Linked DNA regions of Neurospora crassa OR74A. The protein of the gene in region 1 interacts with the protein of each later gene in a pairwise test. Links are inferred from orthologs where the notes say so. Each region holds a gene or a part of one and is shown on either strand. Other genes may lie near its edges. The genes, in order: NCU03028 and NCU03630.

What was found.
Region 2: the proteins of NCU03028 (region 1) and NCU03630 interact in a two-hybrid assay, tested with the Schizosaccharomyces pombe proteins (2 studies listed by BioGRID). The link is inferred for Neurospora crassa OR74A from reciprocal best matches to the Schizosaccharomyces pombe genes dsk2 and pga2.

The regions. Positions count from the first base shown.
Region 1 is NC_026501.1:8,387,310-8,403,219, reverse strand, and holds NCU03028 (deubiquitination-protection protein dph1), read left to right. Parts: upstream 1-8,454; 5' UTR 8,455-8,723; coding exon 8,724-9,158; intron 9,159-9,223; coding exon 9,224-10,084; 3' UTR 10,085-10,537; downstream 10,538-15,910. Other genes in the region: gh18-3 (chitinase), read right to left, coding at 2,428-2,517, 2,654-3,225, 3,375-3,606, 3,667-3,852; NCU03029 (hypothetical protein), read right to left, coding at 10,538-11,829, 11,900-12,436, 12,571-12,613; cyt-18 (tyrosyl-tRNA synthetase), read right to left, coding at 13,281-15,045, 15,110-15,354. UniProt on the Schizosaccharomyces pombe protein: Protects ubiquitin chains against dissambly by deubiquitinating enzymes thereby promoting protein degradation.
Region 2 is NC_026505.1:1,893,320-1,907,915, forward strand, and holds NCU03630 (hypothetical protein), read left to right. Parts: upstream 1-6,742; 5' UTR 6,743-7,115; coding exon 7,116-7,236; intron 7,237-7,320; coding exon 7,321-7,652; 3' UTR 7,653-7,770; downstream 7,771-14,596. Other genes in the region: NCU03627 (hypothetical protein), read right to left, coding at 464-2,230, 2,287-2,319; pod-5 (polarity defective-5), read left to right, coding at 2,846-5,614; NCU03629 (hypothetical protein), read right to left, coding at 5,982-6,163, 6,218-6,341, 6,403-6,435; NCU03631 (hypothetical protein), read left to right, coding at 8,299-8,347, 8,437-8,954; NCU03632 (farnesyltransferase/geranylgeranyltransferase type I alpha subunit), read right to left, coding at 9,472-10,415, 10,494-11,201, 11,340-11,385; NCU03633 (mevalonate kinase), read right to left, coding at 12,012-13,298, 13,385-13,684.

The DNA.
Region 1 (15,910 bases):
TCCTCTTTCCAGCTCCGGTCTTCTCACGCACCATGAGCTTTCCGCTGTCACCGGCGTAAGCTAGAGAGTGGACGGAAGCTTCCAGTCCTACGAACCGAATGCATCAGTTTTCCTCCACATTGGTGTACCTAACGATTCGTTTCACATCTCCTCCACGGCTGACATACAGCTCGGTCGATCAATCTGCTTTCAGATACATAACTTGAATGGATGGTAGATAGATGGCCAACGCAGGTTGAAGTCGACAAGGTACCGTTCAGGCGCAATGGGCCATCTCACATCTGGCCACGTTCACCCACAGAATCTCTAGTGATAGGTAGGATAGATTCTTCATCACCACGGACGACATTCGTCTGCGCCGTCATCTTTCGTTCGTCCTGTTCACTTTCTTGAGTGTTTCATGATCGTCCTCTGCAACATCTGCAGCCTTTTGCAACGTTCGGATACAACCATCGATCGAACCACATATGTACATACTGTACATACTGTACCTAGAGAGAGAGTCCACTTGGCGTGTCGCCCTGCGTTTCAACCCAACTCGACACCTCTCTCCCGTCGATTGTTGGTTCTTTTTGTTTCCAACAGCACGGTAGCAAATGGGCAGCAAGCGTATGGAATAGAAGATAAAGTTTATGTGGAGAAATAATGGAATTTTCTATCATCATTTTTTTTTGCACTTGGCCGGGCGTTCGTGCCAGCAAAGCAGATCCAGGTGGCACTCGTTCGACATTTGCATTGCCAAACAGGTGCGCCTTGTTTTCAGTGTTGTTTCTTATGTGCATCAACGTCAGAGCCGCAAACGCCAAGTTGCTTGGTATATTGGCCCAAATTGAAGAGTATGGGGAGGCGGCTGTTTTGGGGTTGATAGAGGGTTTGTGCACATCGACATATTCCTTCGTGACATCTTCTTCCTTTTGTTTCCTCTTCCGTTCTCAGCTCAACTGGTACAGTTGGGTAGGTTCACATAGCTTCACCTTACTTTTTCCTCCATCCTTCTATCTCCGAGCGCACGCCAAGTTCCCGTGCCGTAACCCGACAGGCACAGGACATCTCCGTCTCAGCTTACACGGTATTTGAGCTTTTGCGCAACATGCTCTTCGATATACTGTAGACGTCATCCTAACCATTTAGACATTGACGATTGGGTTCATGCACCCCTGAGTAGGCTGCTCAGCTGGATGTGTAGTGTCTGGCCCGTCTTATGTGTGCCACCAATGTGGCTGGCTTTCGAACCAGCCAATGACACGGGTACACTTACATTGGCGTAGTCATTACCGTAGGAGGCACATGATTTCAGGGTTCTGCATTGGGTCCTAGAATCCATTTCGGCAGCGATGTTGAATATAGTTTGGAGATCTAGATGTCCATGGCGTTCCGGTCAAGCTAGCAAATATCTTTGCACAAAGGGCATGCGGATGTTTGGTGTTTTGTCCAATTTTTGGTTTCCGGAATGAAACCGAATGGTATCTCATTGGAAAATCCACGGCCACGTGTGGGAGGCGGGCTCGGTGGGATAAATTGGATAACAGAATATCGTCTTTGATTGGAGGCAGACGGGAGAGCATCGAGACATGTAGGGACCAAGACACCCAATATGCGCTAAAAAGCTTGCCCGGAAATTCTCCTATCACTAGTGTACTACCCGCTGTTAGATGAGGGAGCGTTGGGCAACATGCCAGGTCCTACAGGGTGAGAAATAGTTTTTTTTTTTTTTTTTTTTTCTCGAGAATTGCTTCCTGTCCAGCAGTCTATCCATAACAAGAAAAAAATCCTATACAACTCTGCCATGTCGCTTACCCCTCTGATTTGGTATATCCTTTTGCAGCAAAGCAACTCCTCGTCACTTGTGGGCACTGCAATATGAATGGTTGAAACCGAACTCCTAAACACGAATACTTCCGAACTGTGTGGAAAACATACCAGAAAGCAGATGAGAGAGATAGAAAGGGCGCCTCAACAAACGAAAAAAACAATACCAAAGACAAAAGAAGAAGAGACGAAGCGAGAAAACAAGAGGGAACAAAATGCGAACATGGTATCTCTAGAAAACACGAAAAAAAAAAAAAAAAAAAAAAAAAAAAAAAAAAAAAAAAAAAAAAAAAAAAAAAAAAAGACTGTATACTCGTTACAAGGGTTGTCCTTTTGAAGTCGATGATCAACGCTCCATCCATCAACGGGCGAGCTTGGTGTTATGCAAAGAATCGAGCGCCACGACTTCGATGCCCAAAAAGGTACCAAGGTGTCATTCGTGGTAGAGCGACGCATGCAGAGACGCCAACCGAAATGGCGTCCAATGACAGAAGTCAGCCACACTTCGCTGAACAACTAAGGCCATGCAGAGCCTCGGGACGACCACATTAGCGAGCAAGGGGGGGCTCTAGACTACAGTGGCTGTATGTGTTTCAGCTCACGCTGTTGTCATGACACTCAAGAGCTATGCAGTGTTCGGAAACCCGCCGCAATTAAGCTCCGTTTACTGTCTTTGACATCTGATGGTGCGCTCGAGTAAAAGAGACCCTGGATGAGAAAAACATCAGCCATATGCCTTTAGACTGGAGAACGGCTCATCAAGCCGAGTGTCTTGGAGGGAAAAGGATGGTACTCTGTGGGAGCAGTGGCCAATAAAAGATCGGGAACTGTGGGAGCAACTTACACCGAGTCCCTTTTGCTTACAAAAAGTGGCCTTGGCCTTCACTGTATCCGGATTATCGTAAGTGACGAACCCACCGTCTCCGCCCACACACTGGGCGGCAACGGCCCGCTTGTCAACTTGTTCCTTCGTTCCTCGTCGTGGTAGCTGACAATACTCGAAGGATCCGTCGTCGCCGCCCCCGGCACCCTGGAATTTGTGGCCTGAGCCGCTCGCGTGAAGAAAGCTGCGTCCAAAGAGAGGGATTCCAAACAAGATTTTCTTGCCCGGGACAGCGGAAGCCATCAGATATTGCACACTCGACGCCCCTGATGCTTCTTCTTTATTCATTGCATAAAGCTGGGAGTGATGCCCACTTCGGTGTGACCAAGACCCAAAATAGTCGTACGCCATCAAGTTAATGGAGTCCAAGTATTCAGCTGCCTGCCGCACATTGATATTCTGCAAGATGGACTTGGCCCCAGGGAGAGCAGCGGTGAGCAGGTAACGGTCCTCGGGAAGATGGACGCGGACTGCGGCCAGTAAAGATACGAAATCACTTCCTTGTTGCGGGGAGCAGGGGTAGTCCCATACAACTGGTGCTGTCAGTCAAACATCTCAACAAGATCATTGGGGATTTGTACATGTGTGACGAGGCAAGAGTGGCTGAGCCTTCTCACGCGTACGTGGTCATTGGCTACGATATTGGACGAGGCGAGATGAGGCGAAGGGAAAGGAGCCGTACTGTCTATTCCATCCAGGCCGGATGCTTCCACCAGACCGCGAGCGGACTGTGCAAAGTTGTTACGGAGAATGGCGCTGGAAGCCACCAGTGCGAATGTCTCACTGGAAGCGCCACCCCCAATGGATAAGACCACTTGCAGATGGGGATATTTCTGCTTGAGATGCATCAAGGACCCGAGAGCCCCTTGGACACCGTCACAAGGCGCTGTGACATCTGCCCACTCATCGCTGAGCTACCAGAACAAGTCAGCTGAAGTGCTTAACGATGGAAGATGGCGTCGGAACAAACTTACAAACACCCCTCCGTCTGCCATGATGTTGGCAAAGGCATAGTAAACACGGTTGATGCATCCGTAGTTGAGTGAACCGGGAGTGTCACCTCGGTACACGCTGTGATTCGGCCAATATACGGCATTGTTGTAGAGAACGTTGGCCGCGCTTGTGATGCGCGACTTGCGAGAAACGGAGGGGAAGCTCATGGTCAATGCGGACTCTTCTACGCGTGATGATCAAGACCAGGTAGCGATCGAGGGTTCGGGCAGGAGACGATGGAGGAGACGGATGGAGAACCCTCAAAACATGGAGAAGCGGACACGACCATGGCGCTCATTTATGAATACAAGAACTAGGGAAAAAGTACCGGAAACTTGATGAATGAGGCTTGTGCCAGCTCATTTTTGTTGGACCGATGTGTTTGAGATGCTGCTGGTCGGGCAGCAAGAACGGAAGAAGAGTGGCAGATTGCCCTGTTGTGCGTCTATATAACTAGGTACCCTTCTTCTGCTGGGACAGCTGGTTCCCAGACCTTGGGGTTCATGGGACGGTGAGCAAACCAAACAGACAACTTACCCATGGCAGTGGAGCAACGCGGACACCCGAGTTGGCTCAACGATCGGAAGTCGCAAGCCCTAGTTGCTGCATGACATGACGTTGTCTGCGAGGGTGTATCGAGGAAAGGAAAGGATAAGCGGTACCTCTATGGGCACGCCAGAGATGCACCGCTGCGTATCCACCAGACCAGTGAAGCACTTTACGAAAAGAGTGGGAAAAATGTAACGAGGATGCAGGCGGCTAACACTGAAGGTTCCAATGAGATGTAGAAGTCGGTGACCGGAATCTTTTGTGGTGGTTGGGTCGTAGTTAAGATTTCCTAGGGCTGACTTTTCCCGTCTAATTTCATGCCATTTTCACTGTCAACAGATCCTTGACCTGTGGCATCGGGAGACCTTGCCTTGACTCGGCCATTGGGCTTCAGTTTGCAAAACTAATCTGCATCTGGAGTCAATCCTGAAGGGCTTTACATAAGTCCACGTCCTTGCAAGTTGCAGGCTTGAGCTCGCAGGTGATGATTTTTGGTGATTTTCGCCCAACAAATTCTAAACCTGGATTGTGCTGAGCAGGGGCATATGGTAACTACCCTCTGTGTCATGGTCATCCTCGTATGTGGATATGGTCAACTTCGGCCTGTTCTCCGGAGAACCCACCCCCGGATGTAGCACTCGCCAGCGGGAAAAGCAAATTTCCTGGATAGACTTGCGGGGCCCTCCCATGATCTCGGAATGGAAACTCGAGGGTCCATGAGATGGGGCACCCGGCTGGCTCGCACTTGTCATGTGTGAGGCGCGTATGGACAAAGATTCCGAAGAAACGAGGTGGCCGGTTGACGTCCGAGGGTGCTGGTGACTGGTTATTTGGTACACAGAAGGGGTTTTCGGAAGTTTTTACGGCATCAGCCTGCGACTATTCCAAACCTGGCCGTCGATTGTCGATCTATTAGCTGGGATCATGCGGTTGGGAAGACTGTGCTCCACGGCCATCGTGGGGAAGTTGGAAGCTTGATCTATTTTGAAGGAAGCGAACCTAGTGGAAGCCATCGAGTGAGAGCTGGGTGCAAGGTTGAAGTGAGTGAAGCCTGACTTTGAGGCCCATCTGGGCGGGGAAGTTTGACACAGGCCAATCTCCCCGCCCCAAGACAAAGAATTGAAATTGGAGAGCGACTTTTCATGGTGGCTTGGTCATAGCCCTGAAAGCCTGAAAGGGCAGGCGCGATGACATGATTGCGATCGTGGCATCCGTTCAATTCCTCGCGCTGGAAGGAGTGAACAGCACAAAGGTGACGACCAGGGTTAGAGGGGTGAGTTTGTCAAATGCGCCCAGTGTAAGTAGAGGTACTTACCCTTAAGTATATTGCATCCGTCTTGTTGCTCAAGTTACCTCTACTGCTACTGGGCGGGTACCTCTCCTCCCTGTCTCGTTGCCACGTTCCTGGCCGTTGTGCAATGTCTCGACAACGGATCTTACGAGATGAGACACCCATCAGAGGCTAAGCTGAAGTAGGGGTATCTGCTCGAATTTGATGGCATTGCTGTTTCGAGAAATTATTAGTATTTTGGCGCCGGTTGAACGATGACGAGGAAGCCCGATTTGGACTGGAATGATGCAATGTCCTAAAACACACGGCCCAAGCAGTGTCTTCCACATGGCAGTTCCGAAGGGACCCTTCCCTAATTTAGTCATCACTGCCCGGGCAGTAGAGGTAAAAGCCCCTGTCGTCAGTGAGGATTTTGTTAGAGTACAGCTAATAGCGTCCCTGTACCTAACCCTGCCACTGGCCAGCTCCAATTGGGCTTCTGTGCCTGCGATTTTCTACCACGTCAAGCAGCAGGGCATCATGAATACAGGCAGTAGGAACCTCAACCTCACACCCTCGGGCAACCTACCTCGACACAGCAAACACAACGCCTCCCTGCGTGTCCGACACTTGGTCTCAGCGCCTCAACCTCCGATCTCTTTCTTTGTGTGCCCCCACGAAATCGATGTCCTCGCCATGTTATGACGTGTTCCACGCCGCTCCTAAAACCCGAGTCACTTACACAAGGCTGCTGTTGATGCAGGTGCCCAATTCAACGCAAGTATTGGATACGGACAGCATTGCTTAATTCCATCCGCTTCGTGCCTGGCCACTTCTTGGCTCACTAGAGGACTCATCATGCAGTCAACTCAACAAATTTAAGCACACCCGCCGGCGTCCGGCAACCAGCCTGAAATGGCCTGCTGTCGGCTGTCTAGCTTCAACCGTGGAGAGCTGTCATGTGTTCCTTCAGTCAGTGCAGCAACATGGCTGGAAACCCCCTTGTTCGGAGACAGAAAGTTGCACGCGACCTCTTGGTACTTGATGCTGCACCTCCAGTTGCACAACCGCCAGTCGTGCCATGGTCGCTCTTCTCAGCTGGTCGGTATTTCTCCGATGCGCCCTGCCCCGAACCGCGAGTGGTTGTCATAGAAGTTCAAGAGCAGGAGTCCTCGAAGAGTGCCTCGTATGTCCATATGATGACTCCTATTGCGTCCAATTTCTCATGTGGCTTGCCGGCATGGGAAAAAGACCATCTGTAGCTGAAAGACATGCAGCGGGCGGGACCTTCCATGAAAACTGCAGTTTGAGACATTGCTAACGAGCGAGGAAGATTCCATTAGATCCTTGGGATCCTGGTGTCGTCTGTCGATAAGTTTCGGTCCAACGTGGCAGCACAGCCTTTCCTCAACGAAGCCCGGGATTGGATCTCTTCGAGGCCCAGAACCGGAAGGTTGCATTTCACGAGATCGATTCAGGCAGCGCCTGTCCGCTGAATCCCGTATACAACAACCCACATGACCGGCGTCGCACGCGTAGCAGCTCTACCTTGACGGGCCATCTCTTGGGAAAGCGCTGATCTCCTCCTCAGTCCATGCCCTTGCCCACGCCAACTCCACTTCAGACGGACGAACGAAGAAGAATCCTCATCAACGTGAGGGCACTCGCTGCTAGTGCGTCGACATCTCGCATTGACGGACAGCCTATCATAGTGTAATAGTTCCATGATCTCAAAGGTTTGTGGAAGACAATGGTCGCTTAAGCACGTCGTATCCTTGCTTGGCCCGCAGCAAGAAGAACTGCCTAGGCGGTATGCTCTAAAGTGCGGTTAGAGATGTGTCTTGATGTACACCAAGGCTACACCAAGGCGGTGAAGGAGCAGATGCTCGATATCCTTGATACACTTACCTGGAGTATCCTGGCATGGTCCACGGACCATGCACTCTGAGCTGTACATACCTGTCTGGTATAGTCCATATGTTCTACCTCCTAGTTCGCTGAGGTTGACGCGACGGCCCATATAATGCCGCCATAACAACAAACGCTACTGATCAACCGAAAACGTGAGTAGTTTGCGAATACGATTTTGTTGTGCAGGTTTGACGGAAGACATCAACGAAAGATTATTCTCGCCAAACCGGCTATCGGCTGAGGGTCACTGAACCTTCAAGAATGCTGATTGCGCATCAAAGTAGGAGGTTTGATGCGTTGAGTTTCTTTCATCCACCAGAATAAAAGTGTAGGCAGAAGCGATGAAGTGTCTGCCATCTGAAGAAAGTTTGTTCAAAACCAGAGAAGGGAAGAGGTTTAGGTTTGTCAAGGGAAAGAGTGAGACGATTCGCCCTCGTCCATTAGTTTAGAAGGTACATGGATTTGGTTCGAAGCAGCAGCTAATCGACAGTACCCTGTCATCACACACATGCGATAACAAAAGCTACTGGACAAGCTGATAAGATGGGGGGAACCGGTCAGGTGTCAGGTCATGTGGATGCCGAGAGCCCGATAGAACCTCAAAGAAGCGGATGGGTGTGAGAGCAGGAGAGTACTATCAAGGTGTCGCAGCTGACTGGAACTAGTAGGTGACAAGATAGTGGCTCACCATCTATATGGCACGCAGAAGTTGCAATCAGGCACCGTTCGTATCATCCATCGATTCCATGTAGTATGTATACCTATGTATACGCCTAGTGACCGGCGTTCGTTACGTCGAGGCCCTGTGGGAAAGCTGAAGTAGGGTACTAAGGTACTGTAACATGCACTTGGTAGGTAGGGTTAGGGATGGAGTCGTGTTCAACGACAGAAGTGAAGCCTAAAAAGGCAAGAACCTCGGTGAACACTACACTACCTAGTATACCTTAATGACGGCTTGTAGTGGGGTCTGCTGCCTGCCGTGGAGGGGCTCTTAATGCCATGCCACCCACCTGCCACTGTTGGCGGCAGCGCTTATCGGCCTCCGCCTGTGACCTTCCAACATTACAACAACTCAATTACTTTGGTTCCCAACACAACCCTTTTCCGTAGCATCACCATTCCTCAACTTTCACCAGCACACGAAGCTATCGTAATTCCATACGAACGACTTTGCAGCAGGCTTTCACATAATCCCATCACAAAGTGCTGAACTCGAACGTGGGGCGATCGGAGCTCCCCTGAGACCAACGTCATCATCCACGACCGCCATTAACCGTTTCATTGCCGAATCGTAAAGCGATAGAAATCATGGCTGAGGCTTCAAATACTGGCGGCGATGGCCAGATTACCTTCAAAGTAAAATGCTCAGGCGACAAGAACCACACAGTCACCATTGCCGAGTCTGCGACCGTCCTTCAGCTCAAGACCCTGTTAGCGGGGGAGGAATACGAGAACATCTCGCCGGAGCAGCAACGCCTCATCTACTCCGGAAAGGTCATGAAGGACGATGAAGTTCTTAGTTTCTACAAGATCAAGCACATGAACACAGTGCACATGGTTAAGCGTCCAGCCAGCGCCGCGACAGCCAGCAGTGGCTCAACCTCGACACCCGCTCAGCCCGCGATACCTCAGAACATGGCTGCCGGCACTCCCTCGAATAACCTTTTAGCTGGCCTCACAGGCGCTCGCTTTGCCGGTCAGGTGCCGCTACCAAGCCGAGACCTGTTTGGGCCGGACGGAGGAGTACGCCACCCCTTTCTCGGCCCCCTGGACCCTTAACATAGCTGTTTACTAATGATGTTTTATAGATGGGCGCGCCTCCTAGCGAGGATGAAATCGCGAACATGCTCTCGAACCCAGCGATGGCCCAGGTCATGGCCGAGGCGTTCAACAACCCCGCCGTCATCGACCAGATGATTGCCTCCAACCCGATGTTGGCCAACATGCCCGCTGATCGCGCTCGCGAGCTTCTCAACTCTCCGATGATGCGCAACATGATGACGAACCCGGAGGCACTTCGCATGGCGGCACGCATGCGTAGGATGATGGGCGGAGGCGCCAACGCCTTTCCAGCGCCCGGGGTAACGGACAACACTCCGAACGCGACGACCGGTGCCGGTAATAACAACGCCAATGCCGATGCGCAGAACCCGTTCGCCATGTTTCTTCCATTTGGTGTTCCTCCGGCGGGCGCTCCCCCAGCAGGTAATCCCTTTGCCGCGCTCTTTGGAAACCCCGCGGGGTCTTCGCCTGCGTCTACCGGAGCTTCGACCGAGAGTGCCAGGAGCGGGGATGCCGCATCTGCTCCGGCTACTGGCGCCACTTCGGGGTCTGGGCAGCAAGCAGATCCGTTGGCATCTTTGTTCGGAGCGCTTGGAGGTGCTGGTCAGCCTGGTCAGGCTGGTGCCGCGAACCCTTTTGGTTTGCCCCCTATCTCGCCTGAGGCCTTGCAGCAGATGATGCAGGCATTTGGTGGCGGTGGTTTGGGTGGTTTTGGCGGAAATCCCGTTGCTCCTCCCGACAACAGGCCGCCAGAGGAGAGGTATGCTGAGCAGCTGCGTCAACTCAACGATATGGGTTTCTTCGATTTTGATCGGAACGTTGCTGCACTACGCCGCAGCGGTGGTAGCGTACAGGGTGCTATCGAACATCTTCTGGGCGGTTCTTAACTTAAATTTCTTTACTAGACGGTGCAGAGATGTGGACCGGAGATTGACAGTTATCTGCTGTTCCTCAAGGATACGGCGGTATTCACAATGAACGACAGAATGTCGAGGGGATAGTGGATTGAAGGATGTCCAGGGAGTGCAGTGTTATCTCCTGGCGAGGTCATTGTTGGGCCGTGCTAGATATATTTTAATCAAATATCTAGCGATAATGGTTGCTCAGGAGGACGATAGACAGTCCAGCACAGAGACGATGCTCAAAACAACACCCCTTCAGCGGGTGTCCTCACGTAAGGAGGTTTACATGTTTACAGTTTAGCGATCTTTATCAAACATGTCTCCTCTTGCTTGAATCAACAAGGTTCTTTTGTCCTCTAAGAAGACGAGTTCGCATACAGTAGCCGGGCTAACTATCAACACCACTAATCAACTCTTATTTGCATGCTATCATTCCCTCTACCGATAAAGCACCGTCAAATCCCCAGCCGGCACCGGAAAGTTCCTCAATTTATCCATAATCTCCGCGTCCGTCATGTTCCTCTCCGTCATGATCTGATCAAAACAATGTCGTCCATCCATATACTTTTGCAACGGATCCCCACTAGCCTTCATCATCATCGCCATCTTCTTGCTGTTCGACCCCTTCCCCCCCGGACCCCCATGACTCCCGGGTTCACGATAGGTATCATAATGTCCGCCCGGCACCGCCACTTTATGTTCCCTCCCCATTTCCCCTTCGCCATACCCCCTCCCACTTTTCCCTTTGCCTGTGCCAGTTCCGGTGTCGGATGGCGAAACAGGTCTAGCCAACCCCGTAGCTAGCGCAGCCAGATACTGTTTCGAGATAACATACTTGTGCACCCTGTACAAACACCCCTTGATGACGCCAAATTGAACTAAGCGGCGAACGTCCACGTACCGTAGGACGTCGAAGCCGGAATCCATATGGCCCTTGAGCCATTCGGCCACGGTTTTGCCGACGCAGAAGGTAGTCATTAGGCGGATTAGCATGTAGTTGGATATGCGGTATCCGTTGGGTGGTGGGGGCTTGTTAGACGGTGGGGAGGAGGAGGAGTGGATGTTGGAGGAAGGGTTGCGGGGGGAGGTGGAGGGCTTTCGTTCGTGGACGGGGGAGAGGTGGTGTTGGGCGTAAGGGCTGGGATCGCGGTCGGAACCACCTCCTGGGCCAAGGCCAAAGGGGGAGAGGTGGCTGTGGCGTGTGCTGGCAGAGGTGGAGAGGTTGGAGGGATTGTGGTTGTGGAAAGTGGTGCTTCCTGACACAGAACGGAGACGGTGGTAGTTGTCGGAGGAAGAAGAAGAAGAAGAAGGTCCGGCGCCGGTGCCGGTGTTGTTGCTGCTGCTGGGAGACGGATCGATAGGTCCGACGCAGACGTAGTTAGCACATTCGTCGACCATGCCGCCTACGTTGGCGATGAAGTCGTGGATGCCCGGGCGAGGGGCGTAGCACGCGCCGAACAAGAACATGTCTAGGAGCAGGATAGTGTCGTAGTAGAGCAAGTGGCGGAGGGCGAGCTGGGTCAGCTCGAGGGAGACGCCGGAGGCCAGAGCAATGCGGCGCACGTCGGAAACGCCATCGATATGAGCGACGACGCGCTGCAGGGTTAGATCCCAGGTTGGGTCGACGACGTCGGCGAACTTCATCTTGGCGACGGGGACGTGCCAGCCTTTGACTTCAGGGGGGTTGACGTGGTGAGGAAAGAGTTTCATGTTGATTGTGTTAGCGTCGTCTGTTTTGAAACGGTCAGCATTTTTTGTAACTAAGGTGATGAAGGGGGGTGAATAGGTAGGGAGATATACCAATGGGAATCATGCACTCTCCATAGTTATTCAGATCCTCCTTCACAATCTCCAGCAACGATTCTATCGGCCGCCGCATACTCACCATTTCATTCCCGTCCCCATCCACCCAACGGCCCCCGCCATTGCCATACCCATGAACCGCGACCGCTCCGCCCCTCGTGGCCGCGTCCTGGCTCAGGTAGCCGTCCTGCTTCTCCATCTCGGCAAAGGTGGCCGCCAGCCTCCTTACGACGCGTTCATAGGGGATCTGGTCCACCACATCGCAACTGATGACGAGCCCAAAGTTGAAAATGAACTCGTTCCGGTCGTACCGCGGGTCCGGAATGGAGACGGGGTATCCCAGGATGACGTACTTGCCGTCCGGGTCATTGACGGTGATGAAGCGGTTGCAGAAGGCCTTGCGCGGGATGATGTACTCCTGGAGCACGCTGAAGTCGAAGAGACATGGTTTCCTGTTGAGGGGACCATTGGTGCCTTCTGGAAGTGGAACTGGCACGATTGAGCCCGGTGGACTTTGTGCGACGATTTTGGTTCCTGAGTTAGGGAAAAGTGCCACTGGTTAGCTTGAGATTCACTACACTTCGTCTTTGGGCTGTCTTGGCCAGACCCAATAAAAATGGGTGGGCAAATGACTTTGATGAGTGACGGGCAAGGCAGGCTATATGTACCCTCTTTTGGAAAGAACCTGGCATAGAAGATTGCTTGAATCATGATTTAAATGATTGTTGTCGAAACCCAGGGTCTTCTTGGTGTTGGGAAAAGCGACTTTGGATTTGACGCCGAGACGAGTAATATGGTCTCATCGGATGTTACCGGCGCTCATTTCTATCGGTTGGTTCTACCGAGTAGCGTATAGATGTCATCCGAATCTGAAGTAGAATGAAATTGCTTTTGAGAACAATGATCAGACACTTTGCAAACCAAAGATGACGTTAGCATAGTAGTCGTCGCCGTGGTCGGTTTGCCAGAAGTTGTCACGTATTGTGTTTTGTCTTGGGAAAGGTGCCTTGGTGCTACGAGGTCAATGGCTGCTAGTGTGTACCTCACATATAACCCTAACCCCTCCCACAAAAACAGAGAACACATAACCCCTTTTCGACTTCAGCATCGGAGGACCCAGGAATGAACGCTAACTATCCGTGTATTTCAAAATGTTTGCTTGAGAAACATCATGATCATTCTGGAAATACCATATTGTCGTTTGTGTTTTTCATATTGCGGGGCTCCACGGTATTGACTATGATGTCCAAAAATCGGGTATTCTCATGCTTCTATCTTACAAAATATGTATGGGGAGTAACGCTTTTGTCCAACCAATCCAACCTTTATGCCTTTTCTCTGTGCCACCCTACCATGCGAATAGAATCTTACACATTCTCTACCACTTATACGGATCCCTATCATCTTGAGTCTGCTTCTTCACCCCATCTCCCCGCACAGAGGGTTTTTCGTCCATCATGCCATCAATCGTTTTTACTGAGGCAATCATCTCCTGCTTAAGCTTGGTCTCCATATCCTTCTTTTGCCTGCTCTTTTCCTCAGGGAAGATAATCTGCTGGCCCTGCTGCTTCTCCTGCGAACTCTTTTGCAGCTCGTTCACAGCATTCTTAGCCTCTTCAGGGGTCAACTTCTTCTCTTTGAGGTTCTTCATAATCTCATTCAGTTTCCTGACAGCGCCGGTAAAGCTCTGTCCGGGGTACGTCTGGCCCGAAGCAGCATACTCGACGTCGCTGACCATCTGGATTACACGCACGTTGTGCTTGCCCTTGCGGAGGATTAGCAGGTTGCCGTTAATCAGGTAGCGCTGGGTCTCGCCGGGGAACCACAGCTTGACGGGCATAAAAGAGATGAGGTCCGGGTTCATGGTGACGTTCTCGCCGCCGGCTCTGTGGGCTCCGCCGACGTAGCAGCCCTGGGCAGCCGCGAGCTTGTGGCCCTCGGTGGTGCTGCTGGCGAGACCGGCGGCGTAGAGGATGCGGCCGATAGACTTGCCCATGATGAGCGACTCGGGGAGAATCATGTCGATACGGGGCGCGTTGTTGAGGGTGACAGGCTGATCTGAAATCGTCTTGTACTGATCGCCACCGGTGGCTGCGTCCTTGGCACGAGAGACTTGGGGAATGGTCATCTGGCCGGTATACATCATACGATGCTGGTCCTCGGCGGCGCTGGCCTCCTGTTTACCGTGCACCAGCGTCACAACCTCACGCGCAAGGGTATGTTGCGCGACACGCTTGCTAGGGTCTTTGATGTGCTCCTCCATAGTCTTGGTGATTTCGCTGATGGGCATGAAAGTGAAGAGCTTGAGGAGATTCTCAACCTCTTGGTCGGACCGGCGGACAAAGTAACCATAGAAATCGAAGACGGAGGTCTGATAGGGGTCAAGCCAAATGGCGTTACCCGCACTCTTACCAAACTTGGCACCGGATGAATCGGTCAAGAGAGGGACGGTGAAGCCGACGCATTCGTCAAGGGCAGTCTTGGGCGTAACATATTTGCGCTCCTGCGGGTCGGGCTCGGATTCTCGGGCGGCCTTGACGACCTCGAGACCAGATATGATGTTGCCGTACTGATCAGAACCTCCAATCTGCATCTGAACTCCCTGCTGGTAGAACAACTCGAACCAATCCCAGCCCTGCATGATGGGGTAGGTGAACTCGGCAAAAGACACGCCGTCTCCCTGGGTCATCTTGTTCTTGACGGTATCGCGCGACAGCATGGGGCCGATGCGCAAGGCGTGACCTACCCTCCTCAGGACCTCGAGCATGGGCTGCTTGTTCCACCAATGGTTGTTGTTGACGATGCCTCGCTTCCGCGCCCAATCGGCTTCGTAACCACGCGCTCGCATCTGAGTGTCCACGTTCTCCCACAGCTTTTTGAGTTGGTAGTGAATCTTAGTCATGTTCATTGTCGCATCGCTGCTGCTCAAATGATCTCTGCTTTTTAGCCTGCCAGTCGGGTCTCCAATCTTTGCCGTCGAGCCTCCAATGAGGGTGAATGCCTTGTATCCTTCCAAGTACATCCAAAAGAGCGGCATCAGGGGGAGTAGATGGCCGACGTGTAATGATGGTGCGGTAGGATCGATGCCGACATATGCCCCAATCCGCCTCGTCCTCATAAGCTCGGCGATGTGCTCTTTGGTGCTGGTAGAAGAATCGTGTTAGTCATGTTCCTGTGCGCATCGAAAGGCCAGTTGTCTAAACTTACCCAGCTGTATCCTTGACATAGCCTCTCTCCTCAAACAGGTCCCATGTATTCTGCTTCTTGCCCTTCTTGATGGCCTCTGCCCTCGCCTGCCAGTTTTCCTCGGCCTCATTGATCTTGGCCGTGTACTTTGGTCCGAATTCGCGCCTGAGTCCTCTTCGTTGGAGAATGAAGCATGATGGGTTAGCCGCAGCATACTTGGCGATACTCCCGCCGGAGCGTATTAGGGCTTTTGTGCGAAGCAGCATTTGATGTGATGTTTGGCTGCGTATCGCTCAACGGCTAGAAGAAGGAAGGAGAGGGAACTGGGCGCAATCCGTAGCGCAACCCGAAGCGCCGATTCCGGCCCTCTTTTTGCGATCCGATCAACCGGAATTGGGTCCCTTGCTGGGCAATTGCAAGAGTTTGGTTATGGTTCCAAGGGCGCGGTAGTAGATTGGTCGGGATGCCCAGGCGGTACAGTAGGGTTTCCGGCTGAAGATCCGGGGTCGCGTGGTGTGAGCGGATCAGTCGACTGGTGTTGAGGTAGGTTGGGAGTGTACAAGCGGCGATGATAGCTTCGGCCAGTCATTAAGGTACCGGCGAACTACGGCGCCATCGAAAAAAAATAATGGCCCCTCGTCCCAACCCGGGTGCAGCGAAGGTCTCGATAGGTATCTTATCGCCCCAACTAACGCGCTGCCGTACCTATCATTACGCGCTAGCATCTCCGACTGCGAAATAATTTCTGGAACGGCGGAGGGGAGCTTGGGCCACCCCTGTTCTTGCCGGGTCGGGTTTGGCGGGGGGACAGGGCCCTTGGAT
Region 2 (14,596 bases), on another chromosome or scaffold:
GCTTACGCATAACCTGTCTCTTGCTAAGTAGGACAGCAGACGGAGAATTAGAGTGACTTGCAACGAACATTATTTTTCTTCTCTCTCCTTTTCCTTTTGTTTATTTGATAAAATAGAAACAGTAACGAACAACCATGACAAATGCCACTCTGATAGAGTGCTTGTCTTGTAGTATGTACTGCTGGCTTCGGACCAGGCATCTACCGATTGATATATTCAAGCGTGGAAAGTTCTATAGCGATCATGCCTTATATAGCTCTGCTCATCCGGCCTTTCACGTTACTTTTCACCTACTCTTCACCTCCTCTTTAGCTTCTCTTAGCGTTGCTCCTCTTCAGATCTCCTCCACCCCTCAATTCAGGTCCCCTTCACTTCTCTCTTCATTTCTCCTTCGCTTTATCTTCACTTGTCTTTTTACCTTCTGCCCCTTTGACCCTATTAACTCTCCCCCCCTCGTTGATCCTCATTCCTGAGTCCTCCTCTTCACCCCCTCCCTCTCACACCACTCCTGATCACTCATCCTAAACCAATCCGCCACGCACATCATGCCCGCCCACAAATCGCACTGAATCGCCAAATGCACCATCTCCAGTGCCAACGCGTTGAACATCCTCCCCAGCGAAAACGCATCCATGAACCCCAAGCCGTGAAACGCCATGTCCAGCGTCGCCCCTTCAAGCCCCATGCGCCGCGCCATATACGGCCTCGCCAGCCCCAACAACGCCAAGCTCTCAAACGGCGTCATCATCGCCCTCGCAGCACAAAGTCCTAACGCGCCCGCGGCGAGGACGTGTGGCAGGCGCGTGAGGCCGTTGTCTCTGTAGAGAGGGGCGTCCAAACCCAAGCTGCTGCTATTATTGGTTTGTGTTTGTTGCGAGTTACGGTTCGAGCCAGCAGAGGTATCAGGCACGTTAGGCCTCAGCTCGGCGGCCCAAACTGCTGCGCCGGGAGGGATGGGCGCGGAGTCGCTGGTGGCGGAGTCGCTGGTGTCGACGTCAAAGGTGATTAGAGTGGGGTTGACGTGCTCGGTTTCTTCGTCGTCGTCGCTGAGGAAAGGGGCTTCGTCGGCTGTTGCTGCTGGGGATTGAGATTGGGATTGGTTTGTGTTCGAGGTGGATCCGTTGGGACCGCCGGGAGTGCCGGGACCGGGACCGCTGACGGAGATGATGCTTTGGCGGCGGCGGGTACCATCGGGTGGAGGACCGGTAGGGAGGGCGTCGTTGGTTGGAAGGGTGTCCGAGGGGGCGTGGACCATTTCCCAGCCTGCTTCGATTGCGTTTGCGCTTGGGGCTTGTTGTTGCTGCTGTTGTGTTGGTGTCGGTGTTCGTGGCTGAGTTTCTTGTCGCTGTTGCTGCTCTTCTGGTGTGGGTGTGGGAGGGATGTATGTTCCACTGGGCGGTTGTAAATAGGGGACTACCTCCTTAAGAGTCCTCCTCCTGCTGAAGTTGATGGGTTTGGGCAAGCGTCGTTGGATTTTCCGCCTAAGTGACCAGACGAGCCGGGCGTATGTCTTTGAAAAGAACCAGTAGCCGGCAAAAGGGGCGATACCGGCGACAAAGGCGCCGAGCCAGCTGATGATGCTTCCAGGGGTAAAGGAGGATGGGAGTTTTGGTAGGAAGATTGGGGAGTCATTGCAGCCTGGAATGAAGAAACCAAGGGTGGGAACCCATCTCGAGGTGTTCACAAGGCCGGTTCGTTGCATGAAGACGAAGATCTCTAGGTGTAAGTTGACCCAGGAGAACACGTACTTGACCCATGGGTATTCTGGCATGTCGAATCCAGCAAAACTATCGCTCAGGACATACGATGGCAGCCCGGCCCAGAGGTACTCTCCCCATGACTGCTGGCGCCTGTGAAAGTGAAATAGACGAGAAAAGGGAACATGGGCGTAGTCCTTGTACAGCAAGATACGCTGCCTCAAGCCGTTGACTCCCCAGACTCCGACGGTGGCCAAGACCTCGCCGGTGAGGAACAGCTTCCTCCCAATTCCATCTTCGTAGTACTGGTGCTTGGTGGCGGCTTCGTATAGAGCTTGGGCCTCGTTGATGCCACTGTCCGGTTCGGCAACGCCGATGACCAGCATAACCTCGTTGTGAGAGCGGATGATGTCTCTGTTGATGCGCCGTGTCTCTGGATTCACTGGTCGTCCTCGGTCATCATACAACTGCTCTGGGGCCCCGGGTTGGGGCTCGCCAGTGCCCTCAACTACCTCATCGTAGGGAGACCGGCCCTGTCCTTAGTGTCAGAACGAAGTTGTAGCCCGAAAGTCTTGCAACGATGACTTACAAGGGCCTGTGATGTCAGTGGGCCCAACCGCATCGTGAAAGGGTCAACTGGATTCAGGAGGTGTTTGTAGATTACTATCCGGCATTGCCAAGATGTTTATGTGTACATTACACGGTGAAATTTGACCAGTCAGTGGCCATCCTCGTGTAACAAACTAGGTCCTGTGCCAGAGATTGTGTTATGGTGAAGATAGTGGTGGTATAGCTGATGAGTGATGGAGACTGGAACAGACAGTTGACGTTGGTGGGGGCGATTGGGGAGCACAGAAAGCCGAGGGAGGGTCATGCTCCAGTTGCTCCAGTGCTCCAGCGTGGTTCGTCACGGATTCCTACAGGGGTTGGATCTGCATGGCGCTAAGATAACCTTATTGCCTGGCCTTATCAGCGGGCGGCAGGCAGCGACCCGCGAAAAGTTTTTGGGATTGGGGACTTTGCAGTGTACCACCCTACACTTGACGTTCTAACAGCAGAACCCCAAAGGCGGCGGCGCGCAATCGCAACCCTCCTTGCCTCTCTGTTTGATTTAATCCACTTGTACAGCCAGACACTCCGTCACCACAATGGCGTACAGGCAAACCACCACCAAGACGACCTTCGAGGTCAACAATGTCATCCAGCCCATTTTCACAGGAGGTTCCGTAGCCCTCGACAATGGCGCTAGGATCCTCGCGACCACCCTCGGCGAGCAGGCCGTCCTCACAGAGCTCAACACCGGCAAGCAGCTCGCCGAGATCGAGGGCGACGGAGAGCCCATCTCGACCCTCACCATCACCCCTTCGGCCTCCCACCTGATTGTCTGCTCTCGTTCTCTTACTATGCGCATATACTCCCTCAAGGTCTCACCAGATTACGATTCCATCGAAGCCACCCTTGTACGCACCACGAAGCCCCACGCCACCCCCGTCGTGGTTCTCGCGGTCGACCGAACTAGCACCCTTCTTGCCACCGGTGCTGCCGACGGCGCCATCAAGATCTGGGACATTGTCGGAGGATACGTTACCCATACCGTTAGCGGCCCGAGTGTCCTTATTTCTGCCCTCCACTTCTTCGAGATTGCCGCTCTCGAGGACCAAGCCAGCAACAAGAACAAGAAGAACAGGCGAAAGAGCACAGCCGAGGAGGAGCAAGCTCAGGATGACAGCGTCGCTTCAAAGTTCCGTCTTGCCTACGGCACACAGGACGGCAAGATCCGCATCTTTGACCTCAGCAAACGCAAGACCTACCCCGTTTACGCCGACCCGACTTCGAGGAGAGAAGCGCACGAGTCCAACGTACAAAGCCTTGACTACTCACCAGAACTACATGCCCTTCTCAGCGGTAGCAGAGATAAGACAATGACAGTATGGCTGTGGAAGGAGGGGACATGGAGGGGAACACCCATGTTGCGCCATGAAGGCGTTGAAGCTGTCGGCTTCCTCAACAACGGAAGCTTGATGTATTCGGCTGGAACAAGTGGCCTACTTAGGCTATGGGACACAACCACACACCAAGAAATCACAGCAAAGCAAGACGCCAAGTCGGAAGCCGAGTCGATAGTGTCAGCCCTTGCTCTTCCCCACAAGAACCTTGTTGTTTGCGCCCAGTCTGACTTCACCCTCGCCCTCTACCGCACACCTTCGGTCGCCGATGCCACCAAGAAGTCGACGAAGCCTCTGGAACCCTTCAGGCGCATCTCGGGAACACACGACGAAATTCTCGACCTTGTTTACCTTTTGCCCGATCAGTCTCTCATGGCTCTTGCAACCAACTCCGAAGATATCAGACTTGTATCCGTGGCGGATAAGCAGCCCCAGCTGGGCGACGAGGAGGAGGGCGCGGCATACTTTGGCCATGACGTAGCTCTACTCAAGGGACACGAGGATATTGTCATGTCTCTCGATGTAGACTGGTCTGGCCACTGGGTTGCTAGTGGTGCCAAGGATAACACAGCTCGCCTCTGGAGGGTTGACCCAGCCAATAACTCGTTCGAGTGCTATGCAGTCTTCACTGGCCACATCGAGTCTGTCGGCGCTGTCGCACTCCCCAAGATCGTACCTCCCGAGAACTCGGAGGCGTTCAAGAACCCCCTCGACCACCCGCCCGCATTCCTCATTTCCGGTTCCCAGGATCGGTTCGTTCAGAAGCGTGACATTCCCCGAACATCACAAAAGGGAGCCGTCTCAACCAGTCTCCGTCGCTTAGCCCACGAGAAGGATATCAACGCTCTCGACATCAGCCCCAACGGAAAGCTTTTTGCCTCGGCATCACAAGACAAGACGGTCAAGATCTGGGATTCCGCAACATTAGAAGTCGTAGGTATCCTCAAGGGTCACCGCAGGGGTGTCTGGACGGTTCGGTTCGCGCCTCAGGGCATGCCTGCCATTCAAGGCGAGACCGGCACTGCTGTTTCCGGTAAGGGTGTAATCTTGACGGGTTCTGGTGACAAGACCATCAAGCTCTGGAACCTCTCGGACTACACCTGTCTGCGCACATTCGAGGGCCACTCCCATAACGTCCTCAAGGTTGTTTGGCTGCGCCTTCCCAAGGCCGCTGACGACGCTGAAGACGAGGCTGCTGCTGCCGCCTCCAAGGCCAAGCAGCGCATCCAGTTCGCCTCTGCGGGCGCCGACTCCCTCGTCAAGGTCTGGGACGCCAACCTTGGTGAGACCGAGTGCACGCTCGATAACCACGAAGACCGTCTCTGGACGCTCACGGTGCACCCCAAGACCAATATGCTTGTGTCTGGTGGTTCCGACTCCCGCGTAACCTTCTGGAAGGACACTTCGGCTGAGACCCATGCCGCCGCGTCCTCGGCCGCCCTCAAGCTCGTCGAGCAGGAGCAGCAGCTCGAGAACTACATCCACGCCGGCGCCTACCGTGACGCTATCATTCTGGCGCTGCAGCTCAACCACCCCGGTCGTCTCCTGGGTATCTTCACTAACGTGGTCACTACCAACGCCCCCGAAGAGGGCTCTCTCTGCGGTATCAAGGCCGTCGATCAGGTGCTTGGTAACCTCTCCGACGAGCAGATTTTCCTGCTCCTGCTGAGGCTGCGCGACTGGAACACCAATGCGCGCACGGCGCCCGTGGCGCAGCGCATCCTCTGGGCGCTCGTCCGACTCTACCCTGCCAACAAGTTCTCCAACCTGTCGGTCAAGGGCGCAAGGGGACAGAAGAGTCTGAAGGAGGTGCTCAACGCGTTGAGGGTGTATACTGAGAGGCACTATAAGCGCATAGAAGAGCTGGTGGATGAAAGTTACCTTGTTGAGTATACTTTGCAGGAAATGGACAGTCTGGCACCGCCGGCGATTGAGGAGAGGGATGGGGATCTGGTTATGGCTGATGCATAGATTTTTGCCTTGAAATTTTGGAAGCATAACGAACGGCTGGGAAAAGTAGCAGTGGATTTTTTGTGAAATGGGATGAAATAATGTGATACCAAGTTTGAAACACATACACGTATAGACCGAATGCTAGTGTCCCGTTTGCCGATTGTGTGATTGTTGATGAAGTTTTCTTTCTTGTGAGAAGCCCATTCCTAAATCTATTTCATGCCTCGCCCTGGGTATCAATAATGCGTGTGTAGCGTCAGCCATGTACCATAATGGCCGATTCCTTTGGTAACGTTTCTCGTTGCGTCGTCGACCCCATAGTTTAACTCACCATGCCTCGAGCACGTTCAAGGCTTCAAGGCTTGTCTATCATGGTGGCTCTCCGCTATTTCTGTTTCCCACTCCTCGTCTTCTCTTTAACTTTGGCTGCCTTGAGGTGATCCACACAATCCTTGATCACAGACTGAAGGTCACTGTTCCGCCTAGCAAGTAGAAGCACGTCATCTGTGGTAACGGTGGTACGCCCAGCATGTTGGCTGAAGGTTTCCAAATCGATGGCGACGTTTTCTGATGTCCACAAGTTAGTAACCGCCAAACAACTTGCGCTGAGAAAAGACGTACCAATCTGAGTCCACACAAGCTCGGTGAGAGCTCCGATGAACTGAGGAGTGGCATTCATGTTGCGACGGAGCGACTCATCGTCGACCATCTTGCCAATAGCGAACCACAGGGCTGATTTGAGACGCTTCTCTTGTTCAGTATTTGAGGTTAGAGCTCGCGGAGAGAAAAATCATCAACACACTTACCTCCTGAACATCTTCACCCGAGGCGTCGGCCATTTTGGATTATGTAAGTGATACTTACACTTACACAATTCTCATGCATCCCCGTCCGTTTAAACGATGTTCGGCTGGGGGGGACGCGTTGAGCGCGTCGGTAGTGGGGTAACCCTACGGCTGGCATTTGCTGTAAAGTGGATTACGTAATGCGGCTCTAGTCCCACTAAGGTGAGTGCCTGCCAAGGGGCACGCTCAGTGGGGCATCTGGGTGTATCCACATCGGCGCCGGTGGGGTTCCCCGAACGAAGTTGATGTAACCTGTACGTATCAGTCAAGTCCATTCCCGTGCCGTCGGCGTCCCGAGTGGACGTTTCTCGCGCAGATGGATTATGGAGCACACCAGCCCGTCCGCAAGTTCGCAAGTGCCGTGTCCGTTCAACACTTTTTTTTCCTCCCTTCTCCTTTTCACAACGACTCTAGACTCTTCTTCTTCTTCTCTCTTTCCTCCTCAACTCCGGCAATCTCGGGATCCTTCTTTGTAATACTTTTTGAATTAGGCTTCTTTCTTCCTTTCGTACTTAATCAGTCGACAGCGAAACCTTTTCATCCGGTGTTTCCTCAAGACTTGACCTCTGCCTACCGTGTTGTCGCAAAAGCATCTCCCACCGCCCTTTGCGCAAAGAAGCCCGAAGACAACCACCACATAACAACCAAATCCCGCACGAACAAAACCGACCAAGATGGACGGAATAGCCAATGTTGTGACGGTCCTGGGTGATCGTATCACCAACAATGTCAAGGGCACCTTCGCCAACATGACGGCGGAGAAGTGGATTCGCCTGATCATCATTGTCGGAGCTTGTGAGTTGCAACATCATTTTCTTCAAGAGCGCAATGCGCAAAACCAATTCAAGTAGAACAGCAGCTGACAATGCGCCATCATAGACGCCCTGTTGCGCCCCTACATCATCAAGCTCGGCGGAAAGGCGCAGATGAAGAAGCACGAAGAAGAATCCGCTGAAGCCCTCAGGGGCACCATTTCCCCCAACGAGCTGCGCGGACAAAAAGCCATGGTCCGTCTTCCTGGTGAGGACAGCGACTCGGAAGACGACGAGGCGCAAAACGGAGAGTCTTCGGCGGCGGACTGGGGCAAGAAGGCCCGCAAGAGGCAGCGCATGGTCATCAAGAAGCTCATTGAGGCCGAGGAGGACAAACTGCGGGAGAGCAAGGAGGAAGAGGAGGATAAGGATATTGAGGAGTTCCTACTTAAGGACTAGAAAAAAGAACTGGGTTCGGGTTTGGGTATGACTGACGTTGGATGATATTATACATTAAAGTATGGATGACGACGACGAATACATAATAATCAAATAATAATGCATTTACGAGACAAGCCATCTGATGGGGTGACAACTTCTGCTTACATGTGAGAAGGCTAAAGAAACTGTGTTGCGGGAAAGGTGGGACCTTGCAACCTGCATTCTGTGAGTGAAGCATGGCTTGGCCTGCAGCCAGAGAGAAGGCAGAACGAGTTCATTAGGACCCACTTCTACGTCCTTTTAACATTCACTCACCTTCCACTTGACTTTCTTAAACCAGGACACCTTACACACCTCAACCTCCAAACCTCATCCAAACCTCACTTTCGACGCGCAGCTTGAATATTGCTACCTCAGCGAAACCTACCTATGATAACGACAGATAATCGCTAGACAGTATCTACCTATATATCAGTCACTCGACCTAGCGCGGACTCTTGCTTCACCACCGGTGAAGTCGTCAAAACAGCTTCACCACCATCAATCAGCGTCATCGAAGCACATCAGCGAGACTCACCCACCAGCGAAGCGGCCTTGTCATCGCCCATTCTTTGCCACATCAGCCACCAGAACCAAATACACTTCTTCACACCACAGCTCCAAGATGGCGACTATCTCAAAAGACGAAGCCATCATCCGCTCCTCTGGCGAAGGTACGCCCACTCCCTCACCCATGAGTTCCTACCATCCTCTCACCTCACCTCACCTCACCTCACCCAAACTAACTCCTTTTGCCCCTCAGCCGCCCGCGCCTTCACAGACTGGTACTACACCCAACTCACCGACGGCAAACCCGTTTCCTCCTGCTACGTCAACACCAACGCCAAGTACCTCGCCGCCTCGCACCCGCCCGCCGACATCTGCATCAACGGCCAAGTCGTCGCCACGCCCGAAGAGTGGGACGCCCTTCTCGAGCAACAGCGCCTCATCACTTTTACCCAGCAAAAGGGCAAAGTCAAGTACGAAGTCGAGGGGTTCGACGTGCACGTCATCAACAAGGATTACCGGTTTGCTGCGCCTGCGGAGATCGTGGCGGCTACGGATGCCAAGATGATGCAGAGGACGGAGGATGCGCGGTTGATGATGGTGGTTACCGTGGCTGGGAGTGTGACTTTTGGGGGCAAAGAAAAGGGCACGCCGCCCAAGCAGCATTTTTCGGATGTCTTTGTTTTGGTGCCAAATTGGGATTATGTGACGAGGCCCAAGTTCAAGGGGCATAAGAGGTATTTGGTCGCTAGTCATACTTATAGGGCTTATTAAGGTGGGATAGCTCTGTGTGACGGATGGGGGACACAATGGGAGAAGCGTGAGGTTGTGTGTGAGCGGAGGGGGTATTTGAAGGCATGTATCCGAGGTATTTGTTTCACCGGATTTTCACATCAGCCAAGGGTTTTCTTCAGCGTCTTTTTTTTCTCTCTTTTTATTTACATGAGTTTATGGATTCGGCGTCAGGGAGGGAAAAGAGAAGGATTGTTAGATGGCTACGATCATCCTCGAAGCGGAGCATGTGGGAAGCCAATACCTCTACCACAAAATACATATGGTACCTCGAAAAGCCATCAAGAATGATACACACTACAAATTGTTTTACAGAACAACTACCAAAGCGAGCGGCTTGGGAACCCTCCTCTGTATGAACCAAATTACCCGATGCCCTTTGACCATATGATCGTACTGAGCTACCCTATAACTGCTTTCAATACTCTCGTCCGAACCGTTCGACCAAAACCATCCGTTTCTTGAAAGCCACCCATTTCTTCAAATCAAGCAAACCCACCTAGGCCGCTGCAATTCCCTCCTCAGCCTTTTCAACCTGCTCTCCGGGCGCCTTCTCCGTCTCACTTTGTGTCAAACACTTCCTCCTCCACTCCCAATACCCTCCCCGAATCTTATCCCACTTCTCCGCCAACCTCCTCAAACACAGATCCGCCTTTTCATTCTCTTTCTTCTCCGCATAAATCTCCGCCAACAAATCCAACGCATGCGTACTTTTCACCTCTTCCTCCTCCTCCCCTTCACCCAACTTATTCACAAACTCCTCCACAAACTCCTGCACGCTTGCCAGAGGCTGGCCGCCCTTCACCAACACGCCCCGCATGTAATTCCATGGGCTCTGGTTCTGCGGCGCCAGATACACCTTGTTCTGGGCATACTTCACCTCTCTCTCCACCAGCTCCTGGGGCACCTTTTCATCCTTTTCCGTCGCCGCCTTACCCGGCGTTGCATACTTTGGGTTAGAGAACACCAAAACGAACCGGTGCGACCAAGCACTGTTGTTTCGCACGTCCTCGTCAATCATTTTCTCAATCGACTTCAGTTCTTCCTCGTCCTCCCACATCCCCAGCTTGCCAACCAGCCACGAGCGGTACGACCAGACGTGATAGTTCTTGGTGTCTTCGGACAGGATGGCGATGAGGAAGCCACGTTCTTGTTTGGCGAATTGGGCAAGAGCGTCGGGGTCGGAAGAGATGGTGGGGTAATAGTGCTCAACGAGCAGGTGGCGGTGGTGCCAGATTTGGTAGTTCTTAAGGTTGGCGAGCGCAACTTCATTAAGCCACTCGATCTCGTCCGGGATGGATATGCCCAGGGCGAAGATGTTGGCGGCGCGGTAGAGCCAGACGGTGTAGTGGGCGGGGTTCATGGCGATGATGTGCTCAGTTAGGCGAAGGCAGCGGGGTGAGTACTCCTTTGTGGTCATGACGGCGCGGAGGTAGGACATTGCTATTTTTTTTGACGAGAATCAGCTTTGATCATGACCTGATTGATGGGGAGGGGAAAGAAAGGAAGTGTGTAACATACCCTCAGCATACTCAGCCGGATAAATGATTGCCGCCAGCGCGCCCTCGGGCTCCTCATGCGGAATAGGAACGACATCCTCCCACTCCACGCTCTCAGCCAGCTTCCCCGTGATAGCGCCGTACAGATCCTTCTTGAGCGCAGCCATCTTGCTTCGTCTGACCTTCTCTTCGTCAATCTCTCTTTCCGTAACAATAATCTCCCGTCCGGACCTTGCGTCGACAAACCCTCTCTTCTCACGCTCAACGTTCTCCCGAAATACTCTGCTCGACACTTGGAGCGCTGTCAATGCGATCCGCTTCCTGAATCGCTCGTCGAACCGCTCGATCGTGTAGCTGCCGACGTCGTGGCCGTTCCGATCAGTGCCCCAGGTAGTATGTGGCTTCGGCTTGTGCTTGAGTCCGCGGACGATTGAGTTGGTCCCGTTGACGGTCCACCAGATCTCCTTGGACGCTTTAGGACCGAGGAGGCTTGAGCGGCTGGCTGCGGGCAGGCGGTTGGTCAGATGTAGGAGCTGGTCGCAGATCCAACCTTTCTGGTCTTCTTTGGGGAGTTTGCTAAGTCCTTTCTGCTGACGGGCAGCTTCGAATGGACGGGTCTTTTCGTAACGCTGTTGGCTACGTTCGAGTACGGTAGTAGGTTCTGATGGTTGCGATGCTGTTTGGCTTGTAGTATTGGTCGTGGTGGGATTGGAGGTGGTAGTCGCTGGAGCTTTGACAGGAGAGGACCGCCCTGGTTAGCTACCTTTCCAAGTATTATTGTACCAACAGACGCAAAAGCTGCAAACAGGAACAGGATGAGAAGGACAAATAAGATCTTTCGAGGTCGAGTACCAAAAAAGAAACTTACTTTCGGTTGCTTTGGGCTTTGTGGCCGCTTTACCTTTGGGCGGCATCGTTATGAGGTGGTTGCTAAGGGGGAAATGGTGGGGTCTTAAAGCGGAACGGGGACCTTGCTGAACGCATTGATTTGCAGCGGTCGTCGGATTGCAAACAAAGTGACGAAGGACGTCAGAAACCAGTGGCGCATCAAACAAAACAATCGCAACGTGCAAGTGAGCACAATACTTGCTTGACATGCACGGAATATCATGATCCCCTTGGTAACTGCAAACATCGCTTGCCGCCTCTGTTTTTTTTTTTCTTTTCTTCTTCTTCTCTTGACGTTCCATCTACTTATTCCAGAAAGATGCCGTTGAAGCAGTACCTTGTTACTTCCCCGTCACTTCACCTCTTCATGACCTCATTACCACTAATCTTCTAATATACACCCTCATTAAATAAGTAATATTCATTACGTAGTAATCGTTCCATCTTCGCGTCCAACAAGAATAGAACGCGATATGTACAACTGAAGTGAGGAAGTCTAATCAGGGATCTGCCTCCTGCCAGCTCGTTTTAGGTATCGTGGGGGGGAGAGAGAGACCCTCAACACCAAGATGCCTGTCTGTCATCCCTTGCCTGCACACCGACATGGGGGACTGACTCCATTAACGTCCCAAATCAGCTCAGCCCACACTCTCTAGTCCCGGTTCTCAACCCGCCAGAACTTCCAGCCCTCCCGCTCGCCCCGGTCGCCATGTACACCGACAAGTTTCTCAAGCGCCTCGTTACTGTCCGCACTGAGGAACTTCTCAAGGTCGATCTCCATACCGCCCTCCTCATCCTCGTCCATCCCGTTCTTCAGTACAGCCGGCCAGAGTACGCCAACACCGTCGCTACCTAGTGTTGTCTCGAACTTGGAGTACCCCTCCTCATCCAGGCGCTGCTCCAGCTTATCCAGCTTCTCGCGCGGCACTCCCGGCCGCAGCAGCGTGATCGAGCATCCGCCACCACCCGCACCAGTGAGTTTCGTCCACCCGATACCCTCATGGTCCACGAGCTCGCGCACGCGCTCCAGACGGGGGTGCGACACGCCGAGTGACACCAGTAGGCCGTGGTTGATGGTCATCATCTCGCCCACCTTGCTCAGGCTCTCCTCGTCCTCCGTGTTGAACCCTTGCTCCTCAATGAGCTGTGCAGAGCTTTGCGTGACCTGGTCGATGGCCGTCAAAATGGTGCCCACCAGCTGCGGGTGCTTCTTCTTCAGCGTGGCCACCTTGGCAACCTCGTGCGCCGTTGACTTGGCCGTCCTGGTGTCCACGAGGAGCAGCGGGAGCTTAGGGAAGTCCCACAGGGGGCGCACAGAGGGCGGCTGGTTGTAGTCTGTCCGTTGGAAGACGACCGCCTTGCCCTGTGTTGATACTGTGTTGTCCACGCCCGAGGGGTTGCCGTGAATGAACATCTCGTAAACAAATGCCCACCGGTTGATGCGCTCAATTTGTAGCCTGGCCTCCTCGGGAGGTTGGTCGGGGTGAGGACCGGACAGTGTCCGAAGCTGGAGCAAGAGCGCTGCCGACAAGCATACTGCGATGGTCGCGCTGCTGCCCAGGCCGGCTCCGATGGGAATCGTCGAGCGCAATGTGTACTGGCAGCCGGGGAACGACTGTGAGCCAAGGGAAAGGAACATGTAGAGGAAGGAGCCGGCCGAGTTCTGGTGCACCTTGCGAATGTCGGCGGGCTTGTCTATCGAGACATCGGCGAGGAAAGGTTGTACGGCGTCAACGAGTTCTTGGTCAATCTCGGTGACGAGACTGTAGTAGTACTTCTTTTTCCCTGGTTGTTGGAAGATCTTCCATGGGAGCTCGTCGATATTCCACGAATGATTGAAGTCGATGTCAGGGAATTTCAGCGTAACAGTTCTCTTGGACTTGGAAAGCGTGTTGACGAGCAGGTAAGATCGCAGCGAGATGGCGGCAGCAATCGCAGCCTGGCGAAGAGAGACAACCGTTAGCCTCTGGGAATCATTACCCCCTTTTCCAGCATCACCATGATCTAGGTGCTTGATCGACGTACCTTGCCGTGAACGACTGCGTGCTCTCCAAACACAATGACTTTTCCCGGTGCCGAAACCATGAACGTCGGCATCATGGGACTGGACTTTTTGCGTTCCATTCTCTGTCGTATGGGTGTTAACATGCTGTTGGTAGGAGAGCCCCCGTTGACGGCGCTGCTGGCGCTTTCTTCAATCGTCACTCTGAGACCATTGCTGGGGTTTCCGTTGACGGCCTCGCTCGCATCACCATTTACGGGTTGGTTTCTCTGCTCGGACTCGGAATGGAATCCATTGACTCCGTTGTGTTCTTGCTCTGCCATGGTCAGAGGTGGTTTTCTTTGTGCGTATGTTGTACGTAATCGACCCGAGCGTCCCTCGGTCTGTGTTCGGCGACAACAATACCAACAATGCTAAGCGGGAGGGGCCCTTCGGAGAGGGGCTCAATATACGAATCCGGCGCAATTGGGTGAACCGTGGAATCGCCAACAAGATGATGGCTGAGTACTAGTTCACGTTGAGGTAGAACTGTGCCGAGATGCCGATCTGATGAAGAGCGAGTCGGCGTAAGGCAACCGAAGCTGCCTAAATAGGTAGAGATATGTAATATATCGAAGGCCTAGAGAAATTGGGGGCTCAAGACGACAGATTGGTCCCAAAGCAACTGAGGGTATCGCAGCGTAGGGATGTTGGTAAACAAGCGGGCGAGATGGAGGTTGTTGATGTACTGCCGATCTTTTTCTAGCTCGAGTCTGCAAGGTCCAGATGACGGATATTTAGGCGGAGGCTGCGAACGAGTGCAATTGGTGTTCCTGATACGCCAGACGACCACAAGTTACACAAGGTGACAAGTCCCAGTATGTTTGCGATGGAAGTAATCTTGCAGACGTGCCGTGTTGAGGTTGCGCAAAGTGACAGTTTGAAGGCGGCGGGCGCTGTCACGGTGTGTACAGACTTGGGTTGATTGGGTGCCGAGGGGTTGCCAACTTGAGATTGCAGCAACTGCGGCGGAGAGAATGTACCCCGTTACGTGGGGATAGCAAAGCCAGAGGCGGGGAGCTGTTATGTACTCCAGCAGAAGAGGGTCAGTGGGCTCTGATATCTCGCTCTTTTTTTTTTTTTTTTTTTCTTTCTTTCTTTCTTTCTTCTTCTTCGTACTTTACGGCAATGGTGCCTGATGCTATTCTTCTTTCTCCTGCTGTCCGTTACGCCCGAACCTAAGCTATCTACGCCTA